Drosophila melanogaster: one gene and its partners. The protein of the gene in region 4 interacts with the protein of the main gene of each other region in a pairwise test. Each region holds a gene or a part of one and is shown on either strand. Other genes may lie near its edges.

Evidence for each region.
Region 1: the proteins of bol (region 4) and CG34354 interact in a two-hybrid assay, tested with the Drosophila melanogaster proteins (one large-scale study listed by BioGRID).
Region 2: the proteins of bol (region 4) and spz5 interact in a two-hybrid assay, tested with the Drosophila melanogaster proteins (one large-scale study listed by BioGRID).
Region 3: the proteins of bol (region 4) and Ccp84Aa interact in a two-hybrid assay, tested with the Drosophila melanogaster proteins (one large-scale study listed by BioGRID).

Annotation. Positions count from the first base shown.
Region 1 is NT_033777.3:28,144,752-28,150,185, reverse strand, and holds the start of CG34354 (uncharacterized protein), read right to left. Parts: upstream 3,307-5,434; 5' UTR 3,259-3,306; exon of another isoform or gene 3,218-3,258; intron 2,687-3,217; 5' UTR 2,215-2,686; coding exon 1,935-2,214; intron 1-1,934.
Region 2 is NT_037436.4:2,888,907-2,894,360, forward strand, and holds the start of spz5 (spatzle 5), read right to left. Parts: upstream 3,261-5,454; 5' UTR 2,961-3,260; intron 340-2,960; 5' UTR 258-339; coding exon 195-257; intron 139-194; coding exon 1-138. UniProt on the Drosophila melanogaster protein: Neurotrophin which may function as a ligand for the Toll-related receptors Toll-6 and Toll-7. Binds to Toll-7 and Toll-6, and probably acts as their ligands in the promotion of motor axon targeting and neuronal survival in the central nervous system (CNS).
Region 3 is NT_033777.3:6,701,913-6,705,641, reverse strand, and holds Ccp84Aa (Ccp84Aa), read right to left. Parts: upstream 1,559-3,729; 5' UTR 1,496-1,558; coding exon 1,484-1,495; intron 1,429-1,483; coding exon 823-1,428; 3' UTR 739-822; downstream 1-738. Other genes in the region: Ccp84Ab, read left to right, coding at 2,823-2,834, 2,911-3,564.
Region 4 is NT_037436.4:9,126,971-9,132,519, forward strand, and holds the start of bol (boule), read right to left. Parts: upstream 3,386-5,549; 5' UTR 2,927-3,385; intron 1-2,926. UniProt on the Drosophila melanogaster protein: RNA-binding protein that plays a central role in spermatogenesis. Required for meiotic entry and germline differentiation, at the transition between G2 and M phases of meiosis I.

The DNA of each region.
Region 1 (5,434 bases), on a different chromosome or scaffold from region 4:
CTTCTATTTATGTTCCCTGCCCGCCAGTTGGTGTTGTCTTGTCTAGTAATTTTCTCACACTTTTCAGCCGCTCATCAACGCTCCGGCGGCCAAAGGGAAAGGCAAACTTCGCAGACTCAAGTGTGGAAATTTTCACTTTTTTGCCATAATTAAATTCATTTTCAAGTTGCTCTTGCTGCCTTTCTGCCGGCTTTCGACTCAACGAGATGCCACACCGACGCACACTCAACTTTTCACTATTTTTAGTCGTCCCAGTCGTAGTAGTAGACATTTTCCATTTTTCATTACAGCCCAAAGTCAGGCCGGCTGGTTTGCCTGGCCGCTTTTCCTCGTTTCATTTTCATGCAGCTTCCTGTGCCGTTGTTTCCGGTTTTATGCCTGCCAGTGTCTATTTGTGTATAGTTTTTGCCATTAGCAACCGTTGTCGGTTTGAGGGACTTAGGGGTGTTGTTGGGGCCGGGGCTGGTAGAGCCAACAAATTGGAGAATAGTCCCAGTTTCTGTCTCTATCGCTGCTGCCTTTGTTTCCAAGTTTCGGCTTAAGTTGTTTTTAAGTTGTAAATCTCTACGGGCATGCAATTTCCCCTGCCTGCCCAAGCTGTATCAAATTTTTCATTTGTGGTTAAAAATATGAAAATTGTAACTGATATTTATGCTTGTAATGCCTACGCTTGACATTTTCAGCCCAGAGGGGTGGTGTCCACAATAATTCATCTCTGAAATGCGTGTTCGAGTTTGTTATTTTTCGGATTACGTGTGCGAATTTGGCCCCTTGGAATTTTACTCATTTAAAACTGCCCGAAAGTGATACGTGTGCTCTATTGGTATTTTCGAAATCTGCCTCCTTGACTTCCGACTGACTGGGCCACGTTTAATTGAATGTGTTGCCAGTATGATTTTGGCCATCTGACGCATACAAAATTTCTATAAATATGTACGTTATCGTGCCCTGATATCGATCGCCTGGGGTGTTTTTTGGTTTGAATTGTAATTGTTCAGACATTGTTGTGAATACGTAAGCTGTTGTTATTTCTCTAGAGGTTGTTGTTAACTGAGCTTTTGCTTGAAGTTTTTGCTGCACTTGAATTCTAGTTTATTTTAAAGTTTCGCATTTTATTATTATATATAATATGTAGCATATTGTGTTATTTTGCATACTCTAATTTATTGCTCTTTAAGATAAATGCACAAATTTGACAAATAGAACACATTTTAGCACAAACAGCATTTCATTAGGATACAACTAATAGGATAAATTATTTTTTGCCATGGCCGTGTTTGAATGATTTGCTAACTTTTTAAGCCTGCACAAATCCTTGGCTGAAAATGAAATGCAATTATATCGCAAAATAAAATTCATTCAATTAAATCCTAACTGAAGCCCAATCTGAATACGTTTAGAATTGCAAATGACTATGATGGCGTTTTTGTTTTTTTTTTTGTTGAGAATAATACTTGATTTATTGGTCTTTACATGATATTAAACGGTTTGCATTTCCCAGAGTTTTCATATAGACATTTCAATAAATTAGGCAAAAATATTTGTCAATTTTCATAGATTTGCCTTCATTCCCAATATCAGAAAGAAAATTGGGTTATTTGGTTGCAGCCCAGTCCGTTATGATGCATTTAATTAAGTTTTGATATTGCAAATAAACACAAGTTTAGTCGCTGAATGAAATCGTTGTCTATTGAAAATTTATTCCAGTTGTTGATGCGAATAGTACCCCCCAGAACAAAACGCAGATCGTTGTCTGCCGCATTCGAAACACGTCTCAGGGGCAAAGTGGCAGAGACATTTCTCAATTTATGCAACACCTTTTGCCGGTGGAAATTGCGCCGAAACCGAAATCGAAAACGAAACCGAGACCAAGACCGAGAACCGAAACGGGACGAAAAGGACATTCACCCCGGGAAACTCGCTTTTCCACTCACCTGGCTTGGAGTTGTTGCCCACGAGCTGCTGCTGCTGCTGCTGTTGCTGTTGCGACATTTGCTGTTGCTGTTGCTGCTGCGAGTGCTGCTGTTGGCCATTGTGCTGCAAATGAGCAGCTGTCACCGACTGCTGCTGCTGCTGGGCGGCTGCTGCGGCCGCTGCAGCGGGATGGATGGCCAACAGCTTCGTTTCCGGCGGCTTGTGCGGACCCATTGTGATCTGCGGGGCACCCATGGCTATGGTCGGTGCTGGCATCATCAGGGTCGACATGGTCAGCATAATTTGCGAGTGAATTTTGGTCGCTGGACTCGGGAAGCGAAGCTGGGTTGGCTGGTGATGCAGTTGCTCTGGCTGGGAGTCTTTGTCTTTATTGATTTGCTGCTGACTCCTCCGCAGGATCTGAACTCGGTGCCAAAGGTCGTGCGTTAGCCTTTGTCGCCAGCTTTCTCTGGCTCTCGTCGCTGCTTTCTACTTTCTATGTGTGCGGAGTGCAAACTTATGAAATATGCTCTCGCCTTGCTTCGCCTCTATGTATTTTCACTTTTCGTGCTGGCTGGTTACTCTATTTATGTACTACATATATGTATATATATATATATCGACGTAAGTATGGGGGCATGTGGAAAATATGTAAGTATATTTTTTTCGCCTTTCTTTTATGTTTCGCTTATGTGTTTGTTCAACCGGAAATACACGAACTCAAGCGCACTTGGCTTGTAATATCGTTTCAGGGATTTCCTTCGCCTTCTGCCTGCCAGTAATCGCAAATTATTCTTTCTTTTCTGTTGTGTCTGCTGGCAGCGGAAATTATAAATATTCCTGTCATGCGAGTAGTACTACGAGTTCAGTTCTCTGCCTGCCAGACGTCTTCTGTTTTAATATCAATGTCTGGTATGTAAAATGTCAGGCCAAAAAAGAAAACGAAAATATGAAAAAAAAAAAAAAAATGAAAATATGTGAGAAAATAACAGGGGAAAATGCCAAACAAAAAAGTGAAGCCCTGCTCAGCCGGTTCAAAGTCGCTGGGAAAGTTTCAAGTAGCTGGCTGCAATGGCAATTATTATTTTGCCGGCAGCCTCTGAGTTTTTGTCGCGCGCGAATTTGCTGGCAACTTTAGAAGTCACTGACTCCAAGTGCGTGATAAGACCAGCTTAATAAATGTCGTGTATAGGTTAAGATTGAGTGATCTTTAAAAAATAATAGGTTCTAGCCCAAAGCCCAGAATAATTTGCCACTACGGCAAGGCAAGGTGTGAAGTCTATGTTTCGAACTACGCACGAACCAGGCCGACGTGATCAATCGCACACACAGGATATAATTTACAGGATATACAAAGCGTTCGGTATACGTTCGTACTAGACCGCTGGGCGACGCTTTTCTTACTGAACGCCAGGAGCACACGCATTGGCCAAAATTCGGAGGCGCTGCTGCCACTGCAACGACGGCAGAAAGGCTGCCGATTTTCCCGCTGTCGCTGCTGCTGTGAAAATCGCTGTCGCCGCTGCTGCTGCTGCCTCTGCCGTCGATGACGACGACGGGATGCGTTTCCCTACATTTCTCTTCGGCGGCGAGGAGTTCGGTTAACGGCGGCACGAAGCTGGCTGCCATCGCAGCCATCGTTCATGAAATATTCACGAATGGCTCGCTCTCACTCGCGCCGCCTGCTCCTTGCTGAATCCTTGCTCTCCGGCCCTCTCTCCGTCCCTCTCGCCATCCCAACTGGCTCGTTTCCTCGCTCCAGGCGCCATTCACAAGTCGCAAGCCTCGTCCTTTCAGGTCCTTTCGGCTCCCGTCGCCACAGAGCGCAGAATCCGAGCAGCCGAGAGCACAGGCTTTTCGAAAGCGCCAGCCACATTTGAAATTGACTGCCAAGGCTTGTTTTCTGATTTATAATTTAAATAAAAATATAATGTTATATCTTTAAATTAAAATCGTAATATCTACATGTAAAAATTCAGTTTCCAATTTAGTCAGAGCTTTTATAATGATTTTCCGTACCACTTGTCGCTTTAAATAGAACCTTCAGAAATGTCCTTTTGCGCCTCGTCACTCGAAAATACCAGTATTTTTATGGCATGCCCTGAAAACTGTTATACGTTGCAGGACAAGGCAAATGTTAAGAACAGCCAGCTGATGTTAATATTTTCTATTCTTTTTCATCTGAATCCATCCTTGCGTCCAAGTGGTCATAAAATATTAACTTTTAAAACTAATCTAACAATATAATATCTAACTAGGATAAAGCAGCAATAGCTTTTCAACAATTGTAAGCACACTTATATGCTAAACACTGTGAAAAAGGGTCAGATAAAAGCAACAACCTTTGAAGTTATTATTACTTAGTTTCACTAATATGAAATGTTTTGTATAAGCTACATACCATTAATTGCATGAGAAGCTTTGCTTCTCCTGCTGCCAATTGCCTTGCGTTAATTGTAGCCCTGGAACTAAATCCAAACAGGACAACAAAAAGGATGCAATTTAAGGTGTATCTCCCTATTATTGCACTCTTTTCTCCTCGTTATTACTCCTCTTTTTGCGTTATTAACATACTTTCTCGTGTCGACAGCGGTGACAGGGACAGCGAGCGACAGGACGACGGTGTTCTGAGGTAATGTTGCAAAGAGCAGTGCTCGAAAAAGTGTCTGGGCTGGGGAGGAGTCGCCAGTGAAATGGGGAAATGTTGGTAAAATACATAATTACATGTAATTTACCATGCGACATTATCATTGTTCTGCTCGTATTTAGCATAGAATCAACGTCGCACGGCAGAGACGTCGAGTGTCCATAGAATAGCTCATGTAGCGGACAACGGGTCTTGAATGTACTCTCCCTGCTCACCAACTCACAGAAGTACTCGAAAAAAATGATTCAACTTTATATTTATTTAAAAAATAAATAAAATTCTAAGGATTCAGCTTAAAACGTTCAGTTTAAAACCAAAGTTACATATAATTCTAGGGATCTCAAGAGTAAACATAACGATACTTCTACAAAACATTTCGATTCAATTGTAAATCTATGTTTATATTTGTGAAGAAAATCCTGATTTTCTTTTAGTGTATATTGCATGTGCTTAAATGCAACAAAAACAGCAGCAACTTCACGTAATAACAAAAGTGAAGTAAACAATAAGAAGAGGCCGTTAGAGCGATGCAAAAGACGAGTTTCTTTCTTGTTTGGCCCACTCTTTCTGCATGTCCTTCTGCCGCTCTCGCCGATTCTATGCACTTGTGTGTGTGACAATTGCCCTTTGAATTTTTAAATCCCTTTAAATGAAAACAACAACTGGGATCCCCTGCCTTTTGGCCTTTTGTTCTTCGAGTTGCGCTTGTTAGGTAAATCAGCGCCAGTTTGCATGAGTGTGTTTTGGTGAGCGAGTGTGTGAGTGTGCGATTATGCGATTGTGTGAATGAGTGAGCCTTTGCAGCAAAAACAACGAGAAAACAACAACAATATCATCGTGCGGAAAGTTATAACGTGCTTAAGCGTCTTAAGC
Region 2 (5,454 bases), 6.2 Mb from region 4:
GTGCTCGCAGTACGTCTTTCCTGGACGGGCACAGGTGGGCGTTTGTCCAGGTGGCGCCGGGAGGAACTGGCAAGGCGGGGCTCCATAAAGGCCACATGGCGGGGGCGAGCTGTGGGCGGCTACTGTATAAGCTAATATCTGGAGAAAGGAGATTTTGAAGTATAATAAGGAGTACTGGGAGAAGGAATACTCACCACATAGGTAAGAAGAACTTGTTTACAACTAAAGGGGGGCGGACGTTTAATACTTTTTGTCATTGTCAATTCATTCGCCGTCGATTTGCATTTGCATTTGACTCGATTGCGATTCAGCCAGTGTCTTCAACGTGAATTCGGAAACCTGAAGCGAAAGAGAAACTGCCATGAGTTATTTGGTCAAATATTAGTCGCAAAAAAATGGCAAATACACGACCATTTCTCGCACCATTTCCATTGGGACACGAAACAGACAATAAGTGATGGTTTTTCCGCAGCGGAAATGCTTCAAAGTGCTTATTTGTTGCCCACAGTTCACTTGGGCTTATTGTTAAGTTAAACAATCAACAACTAAAACAATAACACAAACACGAACTACACCACCGACAGCCTCTTGAGCAAACAACAGCCAAACAACTCGAACAACTCCCGTAAATAGCGAAAATAAATTGCCAAAAGTGAAAGTGACGAACAAGCTCCAGACAACAAGATTAAGTATACGCAGATTAAGTATACGCCGCGAAGATAATGGACTGGACACGCCCCATGCATTGTGGGGGCGTTCTCAATTGGCGACCCGAGCTGTCAGCTAATGACAATACTTATAAACTCTAATGATTTATTAGGACTCTAAAACGGAATTTCAATATGCCGGTATTTAAATCGGATGTTTTATAGACAATTTAAGTTTAGATCAATGCAAGATATTTTGCATATTTAAAGTGATATATTACCAACTGTTGGAGAGAATATATATATAATAATACAAGCAGTTTTTATTGCGGAAACTATGAGATAACTTTGACTAGATTTCGATAGTTAGCAATGCTTTTATATGAACAAGAAGCTCAAAGAAAAATTCCCAACATGTTTCCCGTATGAAATCAACTTTTAAAATCTGGGAAAATTAAAAATCCCGTAATTAAATGTTAATTAACAGCTGACATAACTAACGAAAGTGAGCTAAAAATTAACAAAAAATGTTATACAAATATTTTAATTATTATAATGTAACAATGCTAACAAGTGATCAAATCTAAAGCTGTCACAGTCAATGGTAAAAACCGGATTTCGTGTCAAGTTTTGCTATAGTTTCAATATAATGTGTACCACAATTATTTATAGAACAAAAAGCAATAACAATTGCCTTTAACACTCAGACATGGGGTGCCTGTAAAAACAGCGAGCATTCAAGAATCAATTGGAATTTATACCGATACAAAAACACCTGCCACAAGCTGCGATAGGATTTCCGGGATCACAGGCTCTTTTGCACGAGCCAAGCAAAACAAATCAGTCAACAAACAAGAGCCAATGACAAAGTGTCCGTCAAGGTACACAGGAAATAATTATATTAATAATATTAAAAATGAAAAAATAAAGAAAACAATTATAATAAATGAACATTCACGGCATATTAAAGTATCAAACAGAAGTTTGAAACACAAAATGTTGTTTAGTAGTTGAGCTGGGCTTTAAATGCTTATACAATTTTATATATACATATAATAACACATATTTCTCTGAGATTAAAATAGCTTAGGTATTTTGAAACCACGTTTCCAACCATGTTTTCTGCTGTGCATCGAAGCCAGATTTAGTGTCTGCGATCTGCTAATGGAGTCTTGCACATGGCTACACCCACGTATTGCTGGTATTTCCCCGATGCCAAAGTTGCGCCAGGCGATCACCTCATAAATCACAGAGCAGCCAAAAGAAGTTGGACATGGGTTTTGGCATTGTTTCCCTTGGCAACTTTAGTGGCAGCGTGTTTTATGGTGTGTTTTGGGCCATTTGCACATCATTAGGCCGACGGGCCAAAAGTTAATGAAATTGTTAAAGATCTTTGACCAAGCTTTAGCGGCTAATCCATTGGCTGCGGCATCATTTTCGAAATTGAGTGCTCAAAATCGCTGGGCCCCATTCAATTTATTTGAATGATTTGGCCGCAAAATCATCTATCTATATTTAATTAATTATATCCCGCCTGAGTAATGATCGATTGTCAGATCTTTATCTTTGTCTCGCCCAGACATTCTCACTTATTCACCCGATTGGCACTTTTTTAAGGGGATAAAATATTTTGTTGGCATCTAATTGAAGCATTAGCAGGCTAAAAAAAAGAGCTGAATGAAACGAAATGCTGCTAATTAATTATAAAGCTATTTAATAATAATGATTGCTTATTAAGTTTTTATTACGCGAGTGTTTGACACAGGAAAGTTTTAAGCTCTCTAGTTTATTTAATTGGTAAACTTGTATACTTTCCACAATATCTATCCTTACTTCTATCCATTAAATAAACTATCAAAGAGACAGACTTCTGCTTCGGGCATTTTTTCCAAAGCCTCTGAATTATTTTCCTTCACAAAGAGGTTGGGTTATTTGAAGCTAATTTAGGGACTAAAACAATGGATTCGATTGGAGGCAGACAAATAGCTGAGCTTCATTATAATTTTTTAAACATATATTTTATGCCTGCATTTAGCTAAGAAATTAAGCACGACTTTTCAAGGTTTTTTCTCCCCACTTGATTATATTTTGTTTGTATTTACCCAAAGTGTTGTCTGCATTTTTTGTGGATTTTGTTTTGTGATCGCTTTGATTTAATTTGTGTTTGCTGGTTTCCTAACATTTTGGTTACAAGTGTATACAAAAAGAAGGAAAACAATCAAGCGTTATAATAAATCAGAGCTGCGATGACGAACCAATGAAATTTATTAACTTATGGCGGGAATTAAAGTATTCAATTTAATAATTACTCACCTAGTGTGCGGCTTGTAGATTTGTTTGGGTTTTTGCTTCACAGTATTTGGCAAATGTTTTTGATCACTATGTGCACTTTTGTCGAGCTTAGCTATGCTCTTTGTATTTCAGTGAAATATTTTCTCTTTTTTTGCCACCGAACACTCACTTGAAAATTCTACTAATTAAAAAACTTAACACGTACCGAAGAGCGCGGATATTTCGGTTTTTGGACTTTAGGTTTTCGATTTCGATTTCGTTTTCGTCTTTTCCGTTTCACGCGTTTGCCAATGCTCACGGCGGCAGCTCGTAGCCAACTGAGCGGTCTTAGCCAAGTTAACAGCGGCCCAGAGCCGCAAACTCGGGAAAAGAGGCAGAGAAAAGCAGAGCTTGGGTCAGAGCAGAGCTATATAGCAAAAGATATAGCCGGCTCTGATCTCCCAGGCTAATCTCTCAATTTAGCCCGCTCAACTTTGAACTTTTTGGCCCGTGATTCATGTCGTTGGCCACATAGTATAATGTGATATGTGGTGCGGTTTTCTTTTTCTTTTTTGGCCCGATTCAAGACCGGAAGTCCAGTGGTTCGGGCCATTCGATATGACGTGGGCCTTATTTATTGACCACTTTTATTGTTTATTTTACATTGTCGCCAATATGCGAACTGCAATAAAGTGAATTTATTTAAATTGTTAATTTTTCTGCTCGCCAATTGTTGTTCGTCGTTGCCGCCGGTTTTGGCCCATAGATACGGCGCATTGTTCGGGCGATGAATTTGGATTTTTATGGCCAATGAAGGTCAGTTAACAGCTTTTATCTGTCGCAGATTTGTGACTGCTGCCGTTGATTTGATTTGGCGCTGCCTCCGGCACAGACATTGAATGTTGGCAAGAAAAGGCTTTTAATGGCCAAGACCACGCACAATTGTAGGAGTTACCTCCGATTTTGTCTCTCGTCGAAGGCATTTAAATCAATTTTGCGCGTTGCCAAAGCTGGAATTATGGGTAATATTTCAGCACAGGTATATTGGGAATTATTTTTTTTTTTTTCATTCCTAATAAATATTTACAATACTTTTTAACCAAGAAGAAAGCGCTGAGCAGTAATTTCTCTGTCAATTTATTTTAAAGTATTGAATATGCAATATGTGTGTACATAATTAGAAAAAAACAAATAAATTTAATTTTTAAAAAGGTTGAAAGAGATGTATACCGTAAAATAGTTTTAAACTATCAAAGGCCTAAATTATTTTTATGGTTCAAAGTATAAGCCAAATAGACCGAAATATATCTAGTAAGATTTTCAAGATTTTCAGAAAATGAAATGAATTATTTAAATTCGATAATTAGTGATAAAAATGAGTATGGTTACATGATTTACTCACTGGGTATCCAGTTAGTCCACTCTCCGCAAACTCGAACATTATTTATGTTTACAGCTGATTGCCAATAGCAAGAGATTTGCACTCTCAAATCTTCCGAGGCGGTTTTGGAATTTTATCCGTCGCCTTGGGTGCTTCATCGTTCAATTTTGGTTTCTTGGCTCCAATTTTGCACAACTTTCACAAAGACGAGACCTAGACAGAAAAGTACGGGAAAACCCTCGCCGAAATCACAATATGGGGCTCCAAGCTCTTATCGAAAATGGTTTTTAATGCGTTTTTAAGTCAAATTAGTGACTTCATCAGTCTGCCGGCCGAGCAGGCTCAGATTCGATTTGAGATTCACTTAAGCCGCTCATTAATCAAACTCCGAGCCCAAGGTATCGGGACCAAAGGTATCATTTTATACCTAAAACTATCGCGGCTACATATGTATATAACACGTGGAGGGGCCACTCCCCCAACTTCCCACCGCCGTTTTAAGGCTTAGCTGCAATTGCGAAAGGGTTAATTAGGGGCTGGGTCCACCAACTCAATGCCGCCGGTTGGCCAATGAAACCATTAAAGCCGTCGATTGCCCTGGGCAATTTGTACCTCTTTTCCATTATTTTTGGCCCACTAGCTCGCCGAACATCACCCGCTGCCCGTGACGTAATGGCTAAAGGTGCTTAGGGTCGATCCGCTTAAAGATCGGCCTATTTTATGAAGTATCTCCTCTAAACCAAGAAACGTATCGGAACCGCCTCGAAAACGCTAGAAAAACTCGGTCGTTTCGCCTTTTGGTTGTGATCTTCGATTGCTAGCTGACAGAAGCTAAGTAATATTACACAAGTTTGTTTATTTATTGTTTATATGTTGATTAAAAACCCGGACCAATTTTACTAATTATCAATTTTAATACTCCAAATAATTAAGAAAATTTTTTAATAATTATCTTAATTTTACTACCTTTTAATTATCTGGACCATCTTCAAGGGACTAAAAAATAGTATTACTTATAAATAATATTTGCAAAGCCATATTTAAAATCTCTTTTATTTTATGACTAGGTAAATATTTTAACAGTCTATAAAATAATGTGAAAATATTTTTTCGCATACATTATCAAACGCTATTCTCTGCGTTGCGCATAGGCAA
Region 3 (3,729 bases), on a different chromosome or scaffold from region 4:
GTGGTTTTGACGTCTATTATAAAAACTTATTTGCAAAACCTTACACAAAATGGTAGTTACTTATGAAGGTCACTGCATCTCAGCAGTCAAAAAACCGAACTCATTCATAAAACTAAGCTGTTTGCGTTTGCTTGAACATTTTGAAAAGTTTGAACAATCACAGCAAGTTTCATAGATACATCATTTCTATTTAATAATTCTAATTAGTATGATTCTATACGAGTTTTTTGGAAGTGTACTATTTGTAGTCAGTCTATTCTATTGTTTAAATACAAAAAATTAATGGTAATAGGTACGAGCAAAGAGGGGAATGGGAAAGCCGGTCACTGAAGTTCCATTTAGCAAAATCAAATCGAAATCCGGCAAACGAAAAAATCGTTTATATTATATATCCGTTAATTGCTTTTATAAGCACACATGAATATTTCACACCGATCTGATTATGATTTATTATTCGTTGATAGGATTGGCCAACGTCCAGACCCGAATCGAACATCATAGATATCTCAATGGAATGGAGCGATTGAAAGAAAAAATTCAATTTGACTTTAAAACTTTGGAATTTTGGAATTTGGAATTTCAATGTCGCAGCCTAATTCAATTAATTGGCCACACAGCCACTCTAATTTAGCCCTCACGAAGCAAAAGTAATTACAATAAATTGTATTGCTTCGTGAATCGAATTGAGCCCCAGGAAATACATATCCTTTGGATAGGATACAGTGATATAACCTTTTTAAATGTGAAATATATTTTTATATATATAGAAGTCGTTCGTAAAACTATAACAATAAAGAGCTGGGCAATGTGGAATGTCAGTTCTCAGGGGTGGTAGGCAACAGCGGGGGCGGCGTAGTGGGTGGGAGCAGCATAGGTGGCATATGCAGCGGGGGCAGCATAGTGAGCCACTGGGGCCACAGTCTTGACCACAGCAGGAGCAGCGTAGTGGGCAACTGGAGCCACGGTCTTGACCACAGCGGGAGCAGCGTAGTGGGCGACAGCAGGGGCGGCGTATTGGGCAACGGGAGCGGCGACGGTCTTCACAACGGGGGCAACGGCGACGGCCTTGACCAGGGGCTCACGGTTGACAACGGCGTTGAATCCGTTGATGGGATCGGCGGTGTACTGGACGATCCTCTTGTAGCCGTCAGCGTCGATCAGGGAGTACTCTCCGCGTACCACATCTCCATCGCGCTCCTCCACCTGTCCCTTGTTGTCACCGGTTAGCTTGTCATCGACTCCGTAGGAGAAGCGGTACTGGGGGTGGGGGTCGTACTCCTCGGCGGCCTTGACCACGACCTTCTGGGCGACGGCCACGGGGGCGTGGGCGTAGGTGGCCACCGCTGGGGCAGCGTGGTACACCTGTGGGGCGGCGATGGGGGCATAACCGGCGCTGGCCACGGCGACGAAGGCGAGGGCGAAGACAAACTGGGGAACATATTCGTTAGAGAAACGGGTTCTGGTGGGATACCACAGGACTCACCTTGAATGCCATTTTATAGGGTTTTTGGATTCGTGGGTTAGTTCTTTGCGGAAACGGTGCTGATGGCTGAATGATACGGTTTCTGGCCGGCCAGCGGTTTTATAGCTCCCGCTTGCAGTTTCTGCTCAGGTGAAGCAAGGTGCTTACGCTTGGCCTTCTGAATATCATGCTCCAAATTAGCGCGAAGTCACCGCTCTGCGAAGTCAACGGCAAAGTCGGCAGAGACGCCGGCAGAGAACCAAGAGAGGAGAAGGGATTTGCGAATGCGAGATGCAGTCCAATTATTTAGAAAGGATTCGGCGGATTCGCGCGGTGCCCACGTTAAAATTGGTAGTTGGGAATGGATTGCATCTGCTAATAGCGTTTCGATTATCCAAGATATTTTAAGGATGGGATCGTGGATGTCTGGTGGGTGGCCTTGATTCCCACAGACTTCGCAAAAGGGCATTTATTTTGAATGAAGCAGCGATTTTCTATATATTGTACAAAAATAATGCATTGTGTAATATATTTTTAACGTTTATGTTCTAAGACCCATAAATGCCAAACTCTTAAATGTGTATCTGATAAATTATTATCTGAGTGTAAATAGAATGTTAGGTATTTAGATGTAGCTAAGTAGTTGTGTTCCTTAGGACACTAACGCAGACCCAACTTAGCTTTTAGTTTTTAGAACCACAGTTTTTGTAGTGTCAACCAATTTCAAAAAATATTAATCTTTTTTCAAGAGTTTTTTCTTATCCAGCACAGTGTAAAGTTCATTCAACTCTTTAAGATTGCAAATCCGTTCGTATAATTATAATCATATATGTATAGAGTATTTAAAGAATATCAATCAGATTGCACAGTGAACTCTAAAGATTCGAAAATCTTTAAAAAAACCTAATCAAAATTTTGCGATTTGCTTTGTAAGAAAAAAATATATGATCAGTATATCTTCTTAAAGCGATCTTATACAGCGTTATATAACAAAGTAATTAGCCACACATTGCGGCCGGCAAAGCCCTTTCGGTATTACGCAAACCTTTCCCCAAAGATCTTTCACTCTTTCGGTGCTGACGGGTTTAGAATCTGTGGCCACAAGCATTTGCACACCCACTGAGCTTAGCGCCACGAACAGGAAGTACAAGTTATTGCCCGACAACAATCGCAGTCGAGAAGCATTTAATATATTTCGCTGTCACCGCGAAAATAACACGTGCTGTCGGCGTATTGGGCCAAAGCAGAGCAGAGCTGGCAGCTTGATTTACTATAAAAGTTGTCGATCGGACACAGAAAAGTATCATTCGCAGATCCAGTTCACTTCTGTAAAGAACTACCAATCAGCACTCCTAGCAACATGGCCTTCAAGGTGAGTCATCTCGATGGAAATCCGGGATCAACTGTATACGAAATTCCGGTTGGATATCTAACGCTCTTGAATTTAGTTTGTCTTCGCCCTCGCCTTCGTCGCCGTGGCCAGCGCCGGTTATGCTCCCATCGCCGCCCCACAGGTGTACCATGCTGCCCCAGCGGTGGCCACCTACGCCCACGCCCCCGTGGCCGTCGCCCAAAAGGTCGTGGTCAAGGCCGCCGAGGAGTACGACCCCCACCCCCAGTACCGCTTCTCCTACGGAGTCGATGACAAGCTAACCGGTGACAACAAGGGACAGGTGGAGGAGCGCGATGGAGATGTGGTACGCGGAGAGTACTCCCTGATCGACGCTGACGGCTACAAGAGGACCGTCCAGTACACCGCCGATCCCATCAACGGATTCAACGCCGTTGTCAACCGTGAGCCCCTGGTCAAGGCCGTCGCCGTTGCCCCCGTTGTGAAGACCGTCGCCGCTCCCGTTGCCCAATACGCCGCCCCTGCTGTCGCCCACTACGCTGCTCCCGCTGTGGTCAAGACCGTTGCTCCAGTTGCCCACTACGCTGCTCCTGCTGTGGTCAAGACTGTGGCCCCAGTGGCTCACTATGCTGCCCCCGCTGCATATGCCACCTATGCTGCTCCCACCCACTACGCAGCTCCCGCCCACTATGCCGCCCCCGCTGCCACCTACACCTCGTACTCGGCTCCCGCCGTCGCCTACCACCACTAGATCCTGGCTAAAATCGACGCTGTACATATATAGAATTGTTGGCTTTATTATAACTGTTCATTTATTTATTGACAGCACCAATAAAAAAATGCATACAAAAATGTAGACATATATCACGAAAGACTAGAGTGTTTTGTGTTGCTTATTCAGAGGTAAGTTCCTGGC
Region 4 (5,549 bases):
GTGTAGGAAAAAAGAACCTTCAACTGCCAGAGGTTTTGATTTCCTTCCTTTTTTGGTTGGAGCACCACCAGAGGATGTGCTTGTTGTTAGAAGCGGAACACAAAAAATTATATAGGTTAGCGCTATAGCCTTCGCATCCCTATCCCAATTTGGGACTTTGGGCTATATACTTGGGCATCCGTCCAGAGAGCGAGAAAAATGGCAAGAGAGAGCGAGAGAGAGAGAGACGCGTGAGCGGCGCAGAGAAGCGAGAAAATGTGTGCCGTGTTGGGAACATGCAAATGTGGGGCGACTGCCCACGCAACACCCACTTTTCCGCCCACTAACCCATCGCCAACAACAATGTTGCCAAGAATACGGAAATATTTTTGAGTGGATGCTCTCTGCGAAAAATATATGCACTACAAGAAACTTTGACAAATTATCATGCTTATGTATAATATTTAAAAGTGCCACGAAAACTAAAATTAGCATAGGTATTTTACACTATGAAAACAGTACAGTAATTTTGTTTTAAGTTTAAATCTTCAGAAAACTATAACTTATAGAATCTATACAATTTGTGTATCAGATTGTGTTTGTGTCTGGAGAAAATCAAATTAAATATCGCCTGCTTAATGTTATCAATTTAATGAGCCAAGTTGGGAATTCCCTCCTGGGGGTTGGTCAAATCGGCCATCAAAGTTGGCATGCCCCAAGCTGCGTGAGAAGGGCCGGCGGAAAATCAAAGCCACTTTTTGCGCTCTTAAGTGCAAAAATTAAACACAATCAACCCCCCAAGGCGAATCTCTTACGCTCGCCCCCCAAATTTCTCTCCGCTTTCTCTCTCTCTCTCTCTCTCTGTCGAATTTCTCGTCCGATATTTTCCCATATCATTGGCTCTCATCACTGCTCTTCGTGTGCATTATTTATTGCTCTTATACAGCCCGAATGTTTGACGATGACGAAGGTGCTCCACTGTCAGTGTCACCACCCCCGCCCACTCTCTGTAATTCAGATTCCCCCTAGCTCTCTCGCTCTCTCCCTCTCGTTCGTCACCTTTCCCTTTCGCTCCCTTGGCTGGAGCCCAGTTAACTAGTAAACCAGCAACCTATAATGGAGCCTCTTCCGTGTTGTTATCCCTATCCCACGACGTCGCGTATTCCCCACAGAGAGAAAAATCATCGGCCATTAGTCATGAATTCGCAACGGTTATGATGTAATGATGAATTATCTGGGGAGTTGTTTTTGGATACGTATTTGCAGTGCTCTCTACCCTTGTCTAGAATAAATTTCCACCTATAAGTAGTTTTTAGAGATAGACATCTCATGAACGAAAGCTGTTTCCTTATCCATTTGATCTCTACTCATACAAAGAGATTCTTGAGATGCAAACATATGCAGTATGATATGATATGAACTCTTTCACTGATTTTTCTCAGTGCACTATCCCAATTCTATCCCTTTTTCGCATCCCGGAAAATGAGCACCAGCTGTCTGCCATTTGCCTTCAATTTTCCCCATTCATGTTTGTTTTGCTTTTCGCCTGACTGTATAATAAATAACTTTGAAATAAATCAAATCGGATCCTGGGCCAATGGACACATGTTAAATGGACCGAGAAATCTAAGCGGGGCATCATCACATTTTTTTATTGGATCAAAATCAACAAGAGCAGCGTCGGCGACCTTAAAACGCATTAGCAGCCGCTGTCGGCCAAGTCGTAATAATTTTATTAGCAAACATCAGAAATATAAAAATGCCGCTGCTCGGAGGCAAAAGAAAAAGAAATAAAAGCGGCTACAATTTCGAAAGGTGTTGGCTTTTTCAGAAGTTCAAATTCAAACGGCGTGTGAGTCGGTGGGCGGGGGGAGGGGCTGTGACAAGTGCAGGCGTGCTCAAGGTAAAAGCGCCGCCGCCGCAGTCGCCGTCGACGCTGACAGCGCTGTCGACTGCAACTCGGCCGAAATCCGAGTGCAAGATCAAGTGAAGCGAGTGGCCGAAAAACTAGAGAGAGGCAAAACTACGAAAGTCGGAGAGCGAGCCATTTATCATTTTACATCACAAAAGATAAGCTGGCGAATAGGAGATACTCAGCATATACATATATGTACATTCACATACATATGTACATACATGTGTAAGTTAAAAAGTAACTATCTTTGTATAAAAGAATCTAGCAATTAATAATAAATAAAAAAGCAGTTCTGCCTCTAGGAAAATTATATTAGGGCCTAAAAATCTCATGTATTGACCTTATATTATTATAATATTATTTGTTATGCTGACAAAACCACATATGTTTTGTATGTACTAATTATCAATATTTCGTGATATGATTAAACGGTTTTATTGTGTAGAATCTATACTAATAAGCTGTTCTACAATATTCCCTCACATAAGTACAGGGTATTTAAGTTGGTCGCGCGGGTGACAGACATTCTGTCTTTTTCCCACCTTTCGCCGCCCTCTCTTTCGCACACGTGCAGCGGCACTACATGTTGTTGTTTTGTTTTTTAGGCATTCTGGAGGCGATGCTGTTTAGGCCGCTTTTAGTCAAGTGGCCGTGCAGCGACGCCAACTGCGGCAGCGCAGCTGCGACTAGATGAAAAAGAACAAATTGACTAAGCACGAAACACGTTTTAGCCAGAGTTTTTAGCCAGACTAGCAGCTCGAATCGGAATCGGAATTGGAATCGGTGGGAGCGGGACGGCGTGTGACATACTGACCCAATTCCGGGTTTCGATTTTCTGGTTTTTCTCAAGAATACACGTTTTCCGCTGCATAAACACACACATAAGCGTACGCGGGAGCGAAAGAGGCAGAGCGGCCAAACGAGTTGCATGGCCAAGAATTTTCGCCTGGCATTTTTCATTTTCCCTGCGAGTGACATTCATCCTCCCCCCACCCAAAAGCAATCCCCTGTTCTGTCATCAGGAAAACTCACCGTTAGCTGCGTCCTCCTTGGAGATTTTTCTGATTGCGTCCAAACTACGTCGTTTCCACAGGCTGCCTTACGTTACGTCTTACGTGAGAGGGGACACAGTTTACAGTTACAGCCTTTGCGTATCATTAATATTCCTTGTGATGAACGTTTATCCCAGATACGATGCGTTTGTATATATGTATCTTAATATCCAGTATTCAATATCAATATCAATAACGTCGGTGATGAACAAGAACCAGAAGACCAAAAACGATGGGATGATGGGATGATGGGATTTAGCTTGATATTCTCTTGGTTTCTTTTGTAATTTAATTATTTGCTCTTCTTTCTTTTCCGATATTTAGTGGTGTTTACTTGTATATATTATTGTTGTGTGTTCCGATTTAAAACAATTTTACTTGAATATATATATATATAGCACTAGACAACTTACTTCCTACGAATCACAATTAGAAATGAGTGTAAGGCGACGACCGAAAGGAAAACTCCCGTCAAAATGAAAAACTACGCGCCGTCTACTTGGGCGGCCGAGAAAAACCAAAACACTGTGGCGACACACCACATGTGTTTTTCTCTTCCAAAAAACCCAAAATTCCAAGGATGGTGGGGGCGATTGCAAAGGAAAATTGAAGCCAGGAAAACTCTCTTCAATATTTACCGTTCACCGTTTAGCGATATAGCACAACAATTTTAGTTCTACAACTGCTCTCGTGTAATGATGAACTCCAATTAAGAACACAAGTCCGTTTTAAGTTGAAGGCAGCCGTCGGGCTGACATATATTTATTCAATTTCTTCTTTTGATTTTAGAGTAGGCAGAAATGGTTCTGTCAGCTCAACGTCTACAGAGTCTCTCCGATTTTACAGTTTTTTATATATTTTGACTTAGGCTAATCCGCGTAGCTGCGCTGCCGGGTACGCCAGCAGCGGAGCGGCGTTCTTATGTATATCTTATATATCTAGGCTTATCGGGAGAGCGAGATATGTATGTACGTATGTAATATGTATTTGGTCGGCGTGTGAATGCTGACCATGCACTTATACTTTTTGCCTTCGAGTGGGCAATGCACTTATACTTTGTGGCCTTCGAGTGGGTGATCATGTTACATCCGCCCTGGCCTAACTGCGTGCATAAACATAAACATAGCAACAAAGTGCTGCCATAAGTTAATATGCTATTTTATTTAATTGTTCTTAATATTGCATAGGCACATACTACATCTCCCTCCTTTTGAAAAATAACGTAACCTAGTGAAGTTATTTTGATTATTAAATGCAAATTATTTTATTTTTATTTTTATTTTGTTTGTGTTTTTGTTTGAACAACAATAGTTGATTTTATAATGCAAAGATAAAAATATACGTAGTGTATGGAAAATTTGTATAAATGATTAAGGAAAATATAAGTTTAAATTCAATCATGAATGAAATTTCTTTAATCTATCTTTATGAACTATTTGTTTTTTGTTTTTATTAGTAAGTAGCGTAATATTGTTATTATCTCCTATGCTTTCTATCTTATAGGGCCCCGTATATTTAAAGTCTAATTTATGACCTACCTCATTTCTTAGTAAAACTTTATCTCCTACTTCTAATTCTATGTCTTTTATTTTTAAGTCATAATTTTCTTTATTTTTTTCTTTGTGTGCTTCAAGAAGTTTTCTTGCTCGAGCATATGCTACCTCTAACCTATATTTACTCTCCTTAGCGTAATCATCTATGTTATATATTGGTTCTATGCTATGTAGTTTATTAAAATGTTTTGGTAAATTACTTGTTCTACCGAAAACTAATTCATATGGACAATAATTATGTACCATAGATTGGGTCGTGTTGAAGCAGTATACGAAATATTGAAGCCATACGTCCCAATCGGTTTTGTCCGTCGATATGTAGGATCGTATATACTCGTTTAAAGTTCTATGACTTCTTTCTACTACTCCAACTGTCTGGTGGTGATGAGCTGTTGATGTTATATTTTTTATTTTCAAATATTTACACAGGTCAGTAATTATTGAATTCTTATACTCTGTTCCCATGTCCGTTATGAACGTCTTCATTGGACCGTACTTTAGAATAAAAGATTCAAATATAGCTTTTGCGACTGTTTTTGCGCTTTTATTTGCTATTGGTATGGCAACTAAGTACTTGGTTAAATCACATATGAGAGTGACTGCGTACTCGTTACCATTTTCTGACTTGGGTAGTGGACCAATTGTGTCCACAACAACTCTATCGAAAGCATGTTCTGGTGTTTCAGTTATCGTCATTGGAGTCTTTGTGTGCTTTGTTGTTTTTGCTTTTTGGCATTTTTGACATTTTCTTACGTACTCTTTTATGTATTTACTCATATTTTTCCAGTAATAATGTCTTTTGACCTTGGCCAAGGTTTTTGTAATGCCTGTATGCCCTCCTTGTATTGGATCATCATGTAATGTAGACAATATAGCTTCTTTTTCTTTTTCATTATTTATTTGGGTCACCGGGTTAAGTAGCGCTACTTTTAAATTCTTTAATATTTTATTGCCCATATTTTTAAATTTATCTATTGAAACGTGTTCAAAGATTTTTTTCCACGGTGCCATTTTGATTTGGCTGATATCATATATACCGGCCTGCAATTC